3 linked regions of the Cricetulus griseus genome follow. The protein of the gene in region 1 interacts with the protein of each later gene in a pairwise test. Links are inferred from orthologs where the notes say so. Each region holds a gene or a part of one and is shown in the gene's direction. Other genes may lie near its edges.

Evidence for each region. The genes of interacting proteins can lie anywhere in the genome.
Region 2: the proteins of Prkaca (region 1) and Prkar2b interact in binary tests that used the Homo sapiens proteins (3 or more experiments, as listed by UniProt). The link is inferred for Cricetulus griseus from reciprocal best matches to the Homo sapiens genes PRKACA and PRKAR2B.
Region 3: the proteins of Prkaca (region 1) and Prkar2a interact in a protein complementation assay, tested with the Homo sapiens proteins (2 studies listed by BioGRID). The link is inferred for Cricetulus griseus from reciprocal best matches to the Homo sapiens genes PRKACA and PRKAR2A.

What each region holds. Positions count from the first base shown.
Region 1 is NC_048596.1:160,442,916-160,447,801, reverse strand, and holds the start of Prkaca (cAMP-dependent protein kinase catalytic subunit alpha), read left to right. Parts: upstream 1-1,674; 5' UTR 1,675-1,840; coding exon 1,841-1,886; intron 1,887-4,886.
Region 2 is NC_048598.1:169,643,934-169,648,818, reverse strand, and holds the start of Prkar2b (cAMP-dependent protein kinase type II-beta regulatory subunit), read left to right. Parts: upstream 1-1,715; 5' UTR 1,716-1,945; coding exon 1,946-2,246; intron 2,247-4,885. UniProt on the Homo sapiens protein: Regulatory subunit of the cAMP-dependent protein kinases involved in cAMP signaling in cells. Type II regulatory chains mediate membrane association by binding to anchoring proteins, including the MAP2 kinase.
Region 3 is NC_048597.1:216,865,666-216,870,536, forward strand, and holds the start of Prkar2a (cAMP-dependent protein kinase type II-alpha regulatory subunit), read left to right. Parts: upstream 1-1,701; 5' UTR 1,702-1,936; coding exon 1,937-2,189; intron 2,190-4,871. UniProt on the Homo sapiens protein: Regulatory subunit of the cAMP-dependent protein kinases involved in cAMP signaling in cells. Type II regulatory chains mediate membrane association by binding to anchoring proteins, including the MAP2 kinase.

The sequences.
Region 1 (4,886 bases):
CAGCTGTTCCAACTGATGACCTTGACCCACAGGCATAGAGCAACATTGTGAGCCAAGGGCACACACAGCCACAATTTAGATAATTTTTCACTTAGCTATGGTGTAACTCCCCAAATCAGAGATGGAGCATTTGGCTATTCAGCCAGCTCCCATAATCCAGAGGAGCCCTACTCTCTGGAAGGGAGAGTAGGACTGTAGCTGATCTAGTAGCAGGAGTGCATACAGTTGCTGGCTTAGAAAGTTGGGTATGAACTGCTGAGTACTGCATTGAATCTATGGGTTTATGTTGCTCAGGGCCAGCTACCCTTTATCATCAGGGAGAGCTAGCCCATTGTCCCCTCAGCACCTTCCACCCTGGCCATGCTCTACTGCAGAGGTTCTCTGGTGGGGGTGGGGATAATTTTGTTTCCCAGAGTACATTTAACAGTCTGGAGATGATTTATGTTGCTCCAGGCAGCAGGAAGATGGAAGTATACCAGCATCCAGTGTGTTAGGGTGGGGGTTCTGAACACCAACTAGTGTGTAGGAGACCCCTCCAGCAGAGTGCTCAGGCCCCTGATGTCAGTGGCACAGTGGGAAACTGACCCTGTTCTGGCAGCACAGACTTGAAAGAGTACCCTGGGCAAGGAACAATGCTTGCTTAGCAGCTGGTAGGCATTGTGTTCAACCCCTGCATTGCATGAAAACAAAATTTAAAGATGGGCATCCAGAAGGAACGAGAATGGCTCCCTGCCTGTCCCCAGAGGGCAGGTTCCAGATAGCGATGTCCAGGCAAATGGACTAGAGCAAGGAACCAGTCTCACCATTCCTCCTCCATCAAATGGGAGTGTGACAGTTCCAATGTGCTGGGAACGAGAAGTCATGTACTTGGCCAGTGTCCTCGTTATTACTTTTCAGGGGCCTAAGGCTGGGCCACAGTAAACGGGACATTAAGAGTCTCCTCCCAGCCTGCCCTCACTTTTGGATCCAGCATCCTCTTGCAGCTCCGGCTGTGGCTAGAGCAAACAAGGAGAACTCCGAGCTGGCCGGGTCACGGCCGCCCAGCGTCAGGCCTTATGAATGACGCCGAACGGCGCCCGGCGACCTCTGACCCGCGGCGCCAGTCGGCCCCTCCCCCGCTGGCAGGTGGACAAGCCTCTGCGCCGGCCCGCCGTGGCGTCAACCTCCGCTGGCCCGTGGCCGCTGCCGCACTGGGCAGGGCGGGAGACTGCAGGGCTCACGGTGCCGCACCGGCGTCCGCTGGGGCCGCCTCCCGCACCTTGCAGCGTCTGCCGCCCGGCTACCCTCCAGCCGCCGCCCCGCCCGCACGCCTGCCCCCCCGGGCCGCAGCCTGCGCAGCTACCCCGCCCTCTCACCCTGGGATTGACACTGACTGAGGCCGCGCGCCTCAGCCAATCGGCGGCCTCGCAGGGCGAGCCCCAAGCCCTGTTGGGCTTCTCGGCCAATCACATGCATCCGACCGCCCGACTACGGCCTCGCGAGCCCGTGAGTGGCTGAGCGTCTGCAGCTCGCGTCAAGCATCCGGGAGCCTATGGTAGCGCGGGAAGGTTTCGGAGGGCCAATGGACAACGGCGCGAGGCTGTCTGTCAGGGAGGCCTGAACCAATGGGCGGCGGGGTGCGGGGGCGTCACGGACAGAGGACTTGGGCTGAGGCTCCCCCGCGGGCGGGCGCAGAGAGACGCGGGAAGCAGGGGCTGGGCGGGGGTCGTGGCGCCGCAGCCAGCGCAGCCAGCCCCAGGGGCCGCCGCCTCCGCTGCCCAGCACGCTCCGGGGACGCCGGCCGCCTTAGCACCCGCCGCGCCGCAGCTCCGGGACCGGTCCCGGCCGCGACGCCGCCGCGATGGGCAACGCCGCCGCCGCCAAGAAGGGCAGCGAGCAGGAGAGCGGTGAGTTCCCGGCCGTCACCCTAGTCCCGGCTGCTGCGGCCTGCCCTCGCTCTGGCCATCGCTGCATGGCCCCTCCCCCATGTGCCCCCCCATCCTGTCCGCCTGCACCCCTGCCTGCTGCCTGCTGCCTGTCCACGCTGGGGTCCGAGCACCGCAGAGGAACCTTGCCCCTGGTAGGGCTCCCGTGCCCATGGCCGACCATCCCCCACGTTAAAGGCCGTGCACCCCCACCCAGCTGTCACTGCCAACCATTGCATGCATGACCGCCGGGGCCCCAGATGGGGCCCTGTCACCACCCCACCCCCTCCTCTCCTAGTCCCTTTCCCCATATTCTAATCCCCCCACACTTCGTCACTCACCTTTTCCACACAGCGCCCCAATGCCTGACCCTGATCCAGCCTCCTGCCAATCTCGGGAGTGCTGTGGGGTCCACTCTGCAGGGACCTTAGCTACTTGGTGACCACACCCCTCCCCCTCCAGCCCCCGCCATCTTTCTCCTATCCCTGCTCGATTCTCCCATCTCCAAGCCCCCTTGCCCCATGAGCGTTTCCCAGGACCACCTCCTGCATTGTTTTCCCCTTTCTGTGTCACTTGGCATGGGGAACAAGATCTTTCTGGGTCCCTCTGCCCCTCTCATCCTGTCACTCTGCCTCCTCCATGTAAGCGTCTGGCCCTGGCTGGGGTGGGCAGACTGTTTATGAACCTAGAGAGCTGCTTCTGCGCTTCCAGATCCAAGTTCTAGCTGGTCTCGCTCAGAGCCATTGCGTCTGTCCTCTTTCTTGGGTTGCGGGTGGGGGAAATCGGCAGAGCACCCTCCCATCTCCTGGCCTGCCCTAAGCTCTGGGTTCCTTGGAAGGCCCCTCAATAAATGGTCGTTTCACAACTGCAGTTCTGTCATTCACCCAGTCCCTGGGACTGTTTCGCTCTGCCTGGTTCAAGGCTGAGAATGAAATGTGTTAGCAAGGGCTCATTCGACTTGAATTGGGATGGTCAGAAAGGAATTGCAAGGGTAGGGTAACGACACCCAGCAAAAGGTGACAGCTAATGATTTGGTTTGTTGAGGACAGATGGATACTGTGCATACCCTGGACTCATCCAAAGGGAGGTGTGTTCTACTCCCCCCTTCCCCACCCCAAACATGCTGAATTTTTCCAGCCAGGTAAAGAAACTGATTCTGTATTTGAAATGCCTTCAGAAGGACCTTGTGCCTGTTCCCAATGCTCTCACCTCTTAAAGTGGTGTAATTCTAAGCTAAAGCAGATCCCCTTCAGTTACCCAGAAATAGTCAGACCCACCAAAAGGGGGGAGGGGCTGTGACCAGCTCTGCCCTTCTCAGTGTTTGAGTCCCCAGAATGCCACCGAAGCCCAAGAACTTTCTGCCCCTCCCCCCTTTCAAACAGCGGGGCAGTCTAAAGAGGCCTGGCATGTCACTGATGGGCGGGGGACGGAGAGGCAAGTGCTTGTAGTTGAGGGCTTGATGACAGGAGCAGGTGGGTAGTGCCCAAAAAGGTCTTGGACTTGAGCTTGGAGGGGCCCAGGCAGAAGGGGAGGGCCATCCCCCTTGGCAGGTGAGGCCCACCAGGAGGTAGATGGTTCTGGCAGTGGGGTGTATATTGCAGTAGCCTTTTGAAAACTGAGGGGACATAGTGCTGAAAAAGCTTCAAGCATATCAGACACATTCAGCAGAAACTAAGAGCTACAGAGGATAAAGGGGTCCAAGAAAAAGATCAGTCTCCGAGTTGGCCAGCTGTTTTTGTTGGGATGAAATCCAGCTACTGTTTATCAGGCATCCAAGAGGGCTAACTTAAATGGGCTCTGTAGACAGACTTATTTTGATGACTTTTGTCCAAATGAGCCATCTGAGTTTGACACAGATGACATCATGCAGCAGAATTCACACCCAGATCTGTCTACCCAAAGATCTCTTGGACCCCAGAATGTTTCAACTTAGACATTCTTTTGTTTGTTTTAGCTTTTGAGACAAGGGTCTCTCTGTGTAGCTCCAGCTGACCCAGAACTCTTTCTGTAGATCAGGCTGGCCTCAAACTCATAGAGATTTGCTTGTCTCTGCTTCCCAAGTGCTGGGATTAAAGGCGTGCATCACCATGTCCAGCCTTCATTCATTCTTAAGCTGCCTCCACAGGAGTTAAACCCTAGCCATACTTTCTTAATTTAAAATGATAAAAACATACTGTGAATAATAGTGTATATTGGTGCTACCAGCGATTCAAGAGGCTGAGGCAGGATTGTTTGAGCCCAGGAATTAAAGGCTGGATTGGGTGACAGCAGAACCTTGTATCAAAATACAGATAAAATCTGTGTTCATCAAGATGGCCTAGCAGGTAAAGATGTTTGCTGCCAAGCATGCCAGTCTTGAGTTGTTTTCCTGGGACCTACATGGTGGAAGGGGAAAACTTAACTCCTACAAGTTGTCCTCTGACCTCCATAAGAGTGTGTGTGCACACACCATAAATGTAAAAAATTTAAAATATCAAACAGGCACAGCAACTCATAACTTTATCAAGCAAAAGAGGAACTGTGAGGCTGAAGGACCTGAGTTTGAAGCCAACCTGGGCTGCTATAAAGGAGACACCGCCTTAAAAAATAAAAGTGAAAACTTAACTCATTTTTCATAGGTCCTAAGCTATGGCAGTCTGAGATTGCCTGTTGTAGTCTCTGGTATACATTAGAATACAATGTAACTAAACGGAAGTGCCATACAGGCTTGAGGCTTATTGACCTGGCTACTTGGGTGGCTAAAGCAAGAGATTGCCTGGGATAGCCTTAGAAGCTATATCAAAATAAAAGTAAATAAGAGTTGGAGACAACTCAGTGGTACAGTACTTGCATAGAATGTTCAAGGCCCTACGTTCAACCCACTACTACTACTATTTTTTTGGGGGGGGGGTTGAGACAGGGTTTCTCTGTGGCTTTGGAGGCTGTCCTGGAACTAGCTCTTGTAGACCAGGCTGGTCTTGAACTCACAGAGATCCACCTGCC
Region 2 (4,885 bases), on another chromosome or scaffold:
GGGTATAGATCTAAACAGAGAATTCTCAACAGAACAATCTCAAATGGCAGAAAGACTCTTAAGGAAATGCTCAATATCCTTAGTCATCAGGGAAATGCCAATCAAAACCACTCTGATATCCCATCTTACACTGATCAGAATTGCTAACATCAAAAACAACAATGACAGCTTATGCTTGAGAGGATGTGGAATAAAGGGGAACATTCCTCCTTTGCTGGTGGGAGTACAAACTTATACAGCCACTGTAGAAATCAGTATATCAATTTCTCAGAATATTAGGGTTCAACCTACCTCAAGACCCAGCAATACCACTCTTGGGCATATACCCAAAGGATGCACACTCACCAAACAAGGACATTGCTCAACTATGTTCATAGCAACATTATTGGTAATAGCCAAAACCTGGAAACAACCTACATGCCCCTCAACTGAAGAATGGATAAAGAAAATGTGGTACATTTACACAATGGAGTACTATTCAGTGTTAAGAAACAATGGCATCCTAAAAACCATCCTGAGTGAGGTAACCCAAAACCAGAAAGACAAATATACCAGACATAAAGCAAAAGATACCCAGCCTATAATCCACAACCCCAGAGGAGCTTGCATCCTCTTCCAGAAACAGATGGAAGCAGATGCAGAAATCCACAACTAACCAATGGGCCAAGCTCCTGGAGTACAATCAAAGTGAGAGAGGAGTGATAATATGAACAAAGGAGTCAAGACCATGATGGGGAAACCAGGTGACCCGAGCCAGTGAGAGATCACTTATTCAGGTCTGACAAATGGGGTATCTACGTAAGACTGAACTAGACTCCCTTAATATAGTTGACAATGGTGTGACTGGGACAATATATGAGGCCACTGGCAATGGGTCCAAGACCTAACACTAATGCATAAACAGACTGACTTAGTGGAGCCCATTCTATATGGAGAGCCACCTTGCCCAGCGTAGAAACGGGGTGGGGTTGAAGAGGTGCTTTGGTCCTGACTCAACTAGATGATGGGACAGACTTAGTAGACTTCCTAGGGGAGGCCCTACCCTTTCCGAGGAGCAGACGGGATGGGGAGGGAGTGGGAGGAGAGGAGGGAGGGGTGCTTGATAATAATAATTTATTTTTTTGGTGTTTTGGAGACAGGGTTTCTCTGTGGCTTTGAAGGTTGTCCTGGAACTAGCTCTTGTAGACCAGGCTGGTCTCGAACAAATTAATAAAAATTGAATAAATAAATGTTGCCTTTGTCTCAGCAACTAGCAAGAAATGCACCAAGCATGCCGTGGCAGAACATCTGCACAGCAAGCTGACCATCACAGCCAGGTGACTGAAAAGCGGGAAAAAACCTAGTGAAAGAAAATGTTGTAACAAATAAGTAGCCATATTTCCTGTATCCAAAAGAGAACCAGTACAGCTGTGTGACTTTAACAAAAGACACCATGCACATTTCTCTTACTGTTGGCTTCTAGGAGAAGAAAAGCCACCACCAAGGTGGAGGCTGAAGTTTCAGAACAAATTGCACGACGCCAACTCCGGGAGGGCTTGGGCAGAATGATGCGCAGGATCTGCTCTGAGAGCTGTCGGCCTCACGCCCTAGGTTCCCGCTGCCTCCACCCAGAGGCCACTTAGCAAGTGGCGCTGAACCCGCCTGCCGGGTTGCCATGGTTTCCGGGGATCACGTGGGCGCGCGGGCGGGGGCGGGGCGCCGGGCGTGGGGCGGTGCAGTGGTGGCGGGAGAGGGAGCGGGAGGAGCTGGAGATGCTGCCAACCCTCCCGGGCTGTGCTCGCTCTGCCGCCGCCGCCGCCGCACGGAGCAGCCGCGCCAGGGGCCCAGGGCGCCGCGTTCGCAGCCGGTAGCGCCGGGGGCGCTCGCTCGGGGCCGCGCAGCCTGAGACCGGACAGCGGACAGGGTGCGAGGGCGGCGCCCAGGCGCCGGGGCGTGCACAGGCAGGATGAGCATCGAGATCCCCGCGGGGCTCACGGAGCTGCTGCAGGGCTTCACGGTGGAGGTGCTGAGGCACCAGCCGGCCGACCTGCTGGAGTTCGCGCTGCAGCACTTCACGCGGCTGCAGCAGGAGAACGAGCGCAAGGGCGCCGCTTGCTTCGGCCATGAGGGCAGGACCTGGGGGAACGCGGGCGCCGCCGTCGGGGGCGGCGCCCCCAGTAAGGGTGTCAACTTCGCTGAGGAGCCCATGCGCTCCGACTCCGAAAACGGCGAGGAGGAGGAGGCCGCGGAAGCAGGGGCGTTCAATGGTGAGGACCGGCCCCCTCGCGCCCTGACCACCGCGCCCGCCCGCCCGTCTCGCTCGCCAACCCCGCCTTGCTCTCGAACCCTGCGCTGAGCTCCCCACCTTCCCCGAACTCTCTATCTTCCCATCCCGCCCACACCCACCCACCCCGGCACCCATTTCGGTCTCCCACTCGCCCACCTTCCTACTCCGCTCTCTTGCCAAGCCCTCCCTTTCTCTGGAGGTGGAGAAATGAAAGGTTGCGCTCCGCAGCCCCTCTGTCACCTTTCTTCCTTGGCCGATTTGGGGTGGGCATCTTGCTGGAAGGTTAACTTTCCCGTGGCTGGAGATGTCTCAGTCTTGGAGAGTGCCATTGTGCATGAAGGGCGCTTGGTGTCCTCTTTTCAGCCCTTAAATTTATTAATGGAGTGTTCGCAGAGAAAAAGGCAAGCGTGTAGGACTCAGTAAGAGGAGTGTGACATCGACTCACTAAGGTAAAGCAAATGAATGGTAATAGCTGTGACATCCTTGGAATACGAATAATTTATTATTTTCCAATATCATGTGGTGGAGATATTTTTGGACGCATAACAAAGGATCACATTTAGCCAGATATGTAAGGGGTCTCTGAAGTGAGGAAATAGGCCAATGATTTTCTTTTCTTAAAAAATTTCAAAACATATATTGAATGGTTTGATTTTTTTTAAGTGTGTGGGAAAAAAATAACACCATAGGAAGCTCTAAGAGCATGTCGGCTGTCTTTAGAATGAAAAGCCAGTGAGTAACTGTAAGGACCTTGCCAGACACTGAGGCTAGAAAGAATGAATGAGAGAGAAAAGGAATTTTCTTAAATAGCTGCCAAAAGGCAAGTGCCGTCCCTCGTGCTTCCCAACCTCTCCCTGACACACCAGATACACACATACACACACACACACACACACACACACACACACACACACACACACACACACACACGTTCACAGTCCCTTGTATTTACACAGTGTTTTTCAGGAACCCAGGCTAAAATGCCATGGTGTGCAAATGTACTAGTGTTTTCTATGTGGTGTAAGGCAAGCACGCATGCAACTTTTATTTATTTATAGTGCTGGTGATTTGTGTGTCCACAATGCATTTCATACAATGAAAACACTTCATTTCCTGTGTCCCTTCCTAGAAAGATTTTTTATTTCTTTGTAGAATTAATTACATATTGGCTGGGTTACAAGAGTAATGCACTTTTAGCTGGTCTAAAACGTGAAACTGTGGACATTAGTGCTCTTTAAATGTGAAAGGGAAGATTACTATTTAAAAATCTTAATATGGGACATTTGGTGCTTTTGAGGATAGGGTAGTCATAAATTCAATTGTTCCCACACCAAATCAAATGCTTGTCCTGCAGTGTCATCTATGACGTGTGTGCACACGCCCTTGTGCACACACTGTGTGTGAAGGGAGATACACATGGAGGCAAGCAGTACACAAAGGAGATAGGGACTGGATGGCAGGCAACAGGAGATGGGGGACTTGGTAAAGAACCTTTATGCTCTTCAGACTATGATGTTAATACAGCTAACCCCTTTTTGTTTAATTCTCTTGAAGTACTTTGCATTGACTTGATTTCTCCTTGCAAGGGTGTGTATCCTGCACATTGGAACAAAGAAGTGCATTTGTAAGCAGTAGGGGTATTTACTTTTATGAAGCTTTATATTCTTCAAGTCATCTTTCCTATAAAATTACTCAAGGTCAGTTGTAATGAATACTTAACTAGTTTATTCCCACCTCTACCTCCAGGGATTTCAGAAGTTTTGGCTCTACCCTAGCACAATTTGATCATTATCCAGCAGATGTATGTTTGGTGTTAGTATAATCTCTGTTGGGGCAGTTCATTTTTATTCTTCTAAGTCACACTCTTGTTCCCATAGAAGTAAACTGTGTAAGAAGCGGTTAAAAACAATTGTAGGCTATAGAATGCTTGGCAGACTTTTTTGTGAATGGCCCTTTCAGACTGTGGGCATCTTATCATCTGGATCATTTTTTTTCCAAATAGATCTTTAACCAAGTGTACTCTCTGGAGCTTGAATTCATACAAGGCCATAGTTTACTCCTGGACAAAGGGGGAAATATATATATAGTCATGTGCATGTATGCACATACACGCACGCACGCCCTCTCTCTCTCTCTCTCTCTCTCTCTCTCTCTCTCTCTCTCTCTCTCTCTCACACACATACACACACACACACACACACACACACACACACACACACACACACACTTCAAGATATACTCATTTGTGGAAAAGACACACATGGGAAATTGACCAAAACCCTACAGACCTATTAAGGTATGTCTATATCCAGGAGAATACTTAAGACACTAGGTCATTCTCTTGGCACAGGAGAGAGTACGTGTGGACGGACACCAGTCTGTGTGGCACAGCACAGGGTACAGGATCAATGAAGCTTACATTTCACGTGCAGCTTGAAGTTTGGGAAAATAACATTATCTAGTACCTTCTTAGAGAACTGTTATGAATAGGTGGGACATAGATTCTTTTTCTTTTTGGTCAACAAACACCTCAGGTTTTCTGGCACCTACAGTGCCCTGACCACATTTTGAAAACACTGGTTGGTGGATCATGACGATCATGACCATAAAGTAGCCCCT
Region 3 (4,871 bases), on another chromosome or scaffold:
AAACTTGAGTCAGTCAGTCCAAGGGCAGAAAAGACCTATTGCCACTGCTTGTCTTTGTCATGTTTTGTTTTTTTGTTTGAGATGGTCTTATGTAACCCAGGCTAGCTTGGACTCACCATGTAGCAGAGGCTGGCACTGAACTCTGATCCTGCTACCTCCATCTCCCAAGTGCTGGGTATCAAGCATTCACCATGCCTGACTCCAGACTGCCTGTCTAATGCGGCCTTCATGTTCTGGGATTAGAAGCATGGCTTTGAAGGAAAGGATACCTGTTATGGGATTGTGAAGTCAGAGCAGTTCCTGCTTTTGTTGTTGTCCTGAAATTTATCATTCATTCATTCATTCTTCACAACTTTGCAATAAGCACCCAGCCAACACACTGGACCCTGCTTCTCCACCATTTAACATCCAGCACTTCTCTGTGGGGTTAAGGACCATATTCAGGAATGCACAGCTATTTGTAATCACAGGTCTACCTAGCCTAGGGCCTCTACACTGAGTACCTTAGTGAGGTATTCAACTGTCAGTTCACAGCAGCACTGAGGGCTTGGGTTTGTGCCAAGTCTGTATGGGCGGTGCTAGAGAAGATCTTAATTAATACTGGGTAATTACCAGGTGGTGCTTAACCATCTCCAATACTCTTCAGTTCTCACATCAACAGCTAATCAGTTGCTGGGTGGTTCTGGCAGGGAGAAGACTTTATTCTCACTGGGTCTTTGGCCAGCACCGAGGTTGTGGCTGGATATCCCAGGAAGGGTATCTTCTTACGTTCTCTTCAAGTTTGGTGACAGGAGGAAGCAAGTTGGGTAATAGCCTGGCCTCTCCAGTTCACCTCTGCCCTCTTCCCAGAGGCAAAAGGCAACAGTGCCTGAGGTCTGCTCAGCTTTATTAAATAATGTGGCCCAGGGCCCAGATTAGGGAGTGGGGAGGAAAGAGGTGAAGAACGGGGTGGGAAGTGTCCAAAAGAAAGAACAAGGCCAAAGTTCTGTCTCGCTCCGGGCCGATTCCCTTTTCTCACTGTCCACATTTGGTTGCGCAAGCTCTTTCAGGGTTATTTCTCTGCCTGAAGCTTCCAAATGACTTATCTCGTTGAAACTTTTACTTCCTACAAAGCCTTACCATTTTGACATCTCATGACCTCATTCTAGACTCCTTAGGACCTTGTATTCAGTTGCACTGTTCTACCTGTCAGTCAAGGTGGTCCTGGCTTGCCCAGGTCTTTGTTCTCGCAGTACCGCGTTAGGAGACGACTTTCTTCCAGTTCGTCCTCTGGACGAGTCCCATTCAATTCTGGGGGTTAGCATTAACGTCATTCCTTAGAGTGAACCCTCTGCTCCTCCACTAGAGCAGAAATCAAGGTGAGGTGGCCCTGTGTCACATCAGTGTCCCTGGCGCGGTCGAGAGGCGCTCAGCATGCTCTGAAAGCGTAAGTGAAAGGTCTTTGTGACCAGGGGAGACGCACTAACCAGCCCGCCTCGCAGCTGGGTCACTCTTTCCTCATCCCCGGGGCCTCCCGCACCTTGACCATGGACTGCTCCAAGAGCGGACGGCCCAGCGGCGCACGCGCACTGTGGGCCATCTCTCGGCGGGGACGCGCACGCCCGAGGCCGCGTGCGTCACAACCCGGGCGCCTGCCGCGCCCGTCCAGCTCGCCAGCCGTCGGCCGCGGCGGCGGCGGCGGCGGCGGCGGCGGCGGCGGCTGCGGCGGCTGCGGCCGGGTGACAGCAGCGGCGGCGCCAGGCTGGCTTGGTAGCGGAAGGGTCGCGCGGCCGGCACAACAAACGCAGAACCGGCCGAAACAAGGCGCGACGCGAGAAAGGCCGAGGCGGGCCGCGCGGGAGACGGCGGGCGCCGAGTGACAGGCCGGCGTGAGGGAGTGCGCAGGTTGCAGCCGCCGGCGGCCCCTAGCCCGCCGGTCCCCTCGGCCGTCGCAGGCATGAGCCACATCCAGATCCCGCCGGGGCTCACGGAGCTGCTGCAGGGCTACACTGTGGAGGTGCTGCGGCAGCAGCCGCCCGACCTCCTCGACTTCGCGGTGGAGTACTTCACACGCCTGCGCGAGGCCCGCGCCCAGGAGCCAAGCACGCACATCACCGCCACGACGACCTTTCACACGCCGGAGTCTAGCGCGGTCGCCACCGAGGAGGACAAGGAGAGCGACTCCGACTCGGACGACGGGGATCTGGAAGGTAGGCGGGCGGGGCAAGGCCGAGTTGCGAGGTGGGCACCGAGCCGAGGGTCCAGGGTGGGACCCGAGGGCCGCGCGGCGGAGCCGAGGGCTCGGCGCCCCGCCTTGCCCTGGGCCGAGACCCGGGAGCGCTCCAGCCGAGCTGCTGAGGTTTCCCGGCGTGTGCCGGTTCCAAATTGAGCTCCGCGGTTCTCTGCGCCCGAGCGTTCACAGAGAGTGATTTGTCAGATTCAGCCTTGAATGAAGCGTGCGCGTTCTTTGGTCCGCGTGGTGGCGCGGAGCTTAAGTCGGTCCCGCCAGAAGCTGCTTTGCCTTTGCTTTAGACCCCATAGCCTGCTTCCTTTCCGAAGGCTAGAGCATCCGCACTCGGCAACTTGTCCTGAATAAGCAGCATGATAACTTTATTTGCAAAGATTTAGGTTTTGGAAGAGTTACTGCTGAAAACCATTTTTTTTTAAGACTAGGTCAGTAGCCTTGATTAAACAGAAGCTCAGTAGGTAGCTCAGGCTGCCCTCGAACTTGTGACATCTTAGATGCCTCTGCCTCAATGAAAACATTTCAGACAAACACACGAGAAGGCAGATAAGCTGAACCCCTTCCTTAATGCTGTCACTCACACTCAACAGTTGAACCAACCCCCTCAATGCTGTTATATTCAACAGTTGTCAGTATTTTTTTTTAACCTTTTCCCACCCTCCCCTTGCTTAAGTATTTAAAGGAAATTTCAGTTAGGTCATTCCATACATGGTCGGTTAATTATGCATTTCCTTTTCTTAAAATATAATCCCTTAAGAATTTAGAAATTTAAATTTAAATTTAAATGAGTTAAAACACTTGAATAAAATTGGTGAGCATAATACCTTGTTTAGGGTGTTGGTTGCAGGAAAGTATACAAGTAGCATTCTGTTCATATGATTTAAGTGGGAATGGCAAGGAGCAATTTCATTTACTTGGTTGCTTCCACTTGTGCTTTTTGTTTGTTTGTTTGTTTTTTGTTTTTCGAGAAAGGGTTTCTCTGTGGAGCCTATCCTGGAACTAGCCCTTGTAGACCAGGCTGGCCTCAAACTCACAGAGATCCACTTGCCTCTGCCTCCCGAGTGCTGGGATTAAAGGCATGTGCCACCAACGCCCAGCCCACTTGTGCTTTTTTTTAACTTAATAGAATTAGCCTGCTTTTTTAAATTTTTTTATTTATTTTAATTACTCTTCTCTCTTTCTCTTGTTTTTTTGAGACAAGGGCTCACAATGTCACCTTGGATGGCCTGCCACTAACTGTGTAGACCAAGTTGGCCTTGACCTCATGAAACCTGCCTGCCTCTGTCTCCTGAGTGGTGCTGGGATTAAAAATGTCCATCCTATGCCCAACACCTCTGGTTTGTCTTTGATGGTGTGTGTGTGTGTGTGTGTGTGTGTGTGTGTGTGTGTGTGTGTGTGTGTGTGTGTGTGTGTGTGTGTGTGTGTGTGTGTGTGTGTGTGTGTGTGTGTGTGTGTGCGTGCGTGCGTGTGTGTGCGTGCGTGCGCGCGCGTGCCACATGTGTATATTTACTGTAGTTCCCAGCTCTCAGAGGTCAGAATACATCAGATCCCCTGGAGCTGGAGTTACAGGCAGTTGTGAGCTGTCTGATGTGGGTGCAGAAAATGCACCCAGGTCCTTTGCAAGATGAGCCGCACTCAGCTGGGCAATGGTGGCACTCATCTTTAATTCCAGCTCTTGGGAGGCAGAGACAAATGGATCTCTATGAGTTCGAGGCCAGCCTGGTCTACTGATTTGAGTTCCAGGATAGGCTCCAAAACAATACAGAGAAACCCTGTCTCAAACAAAACAAAAAAACAACAACAAAAAAAGGAGCAACAGGACTCTTGCCTGCCAAGGTAGTTCCCAACTCCTTGACCTCCTTTTGAACAAAACAAACATGGTTTTTTTGTTTTGTTTTGTTTTGAGACAGGGTTTCTCTGTGGCTTTGGAGGCTGTCCTGGAAGTAGCTCTTGTAGACCAGGCTGGTCTTGAACTCACAGAGATCCACCTGCCTCTGCCTCTGCCTCTGCCTCCCGAGTGCTGGGATTAAAGGCGTTTAACACCATGACCCAGCTAAAGTGGGTTTACTTTGGTTTTGTTTTTTTGTTTTTCGAGACAGGGTTTCTCTGTATTGCTCTGGCTGCCCAGAAACTCACTCTGTAGACTAGGTTGCCCTTGAACTCAAAGAGATCCAGTTGCCACTGCCTTCTAAGTCCCACCATGCATAGTTTACTAGGGTGGTTATTAATGAAAAATAGAACACACACACACTCTCTCTCTCTCTCTCTCTCTCTCTCTCTCTCTCACACACACACACACACACACATACACGGGTGTGAATAAGTTGAAACACCAAATTGGACTGTAAAATGTCCAGCCTGTAAGGAAGTTATTTTAGTAGATCCTCAACAGGTTAAATATTGAATTACTCTAGAGTGGATATGTAGTCAAAAGATCTGAAAGTGAGTGGTCACATACTTGCATAATTAGCTGTTCATTGTAGTGTTATTCACAGTAGTGAAAATTCAAATGGATGAAGTGTCCACAAATAAAACAGTATGTGCATAAACCCACATACAGTGGAATGTTATTTGATCTTAAAAAAGAAATGGAATTCTGATACAGGCTACCGATACAGATGATGTTACAACATTGAAAACAGACTAA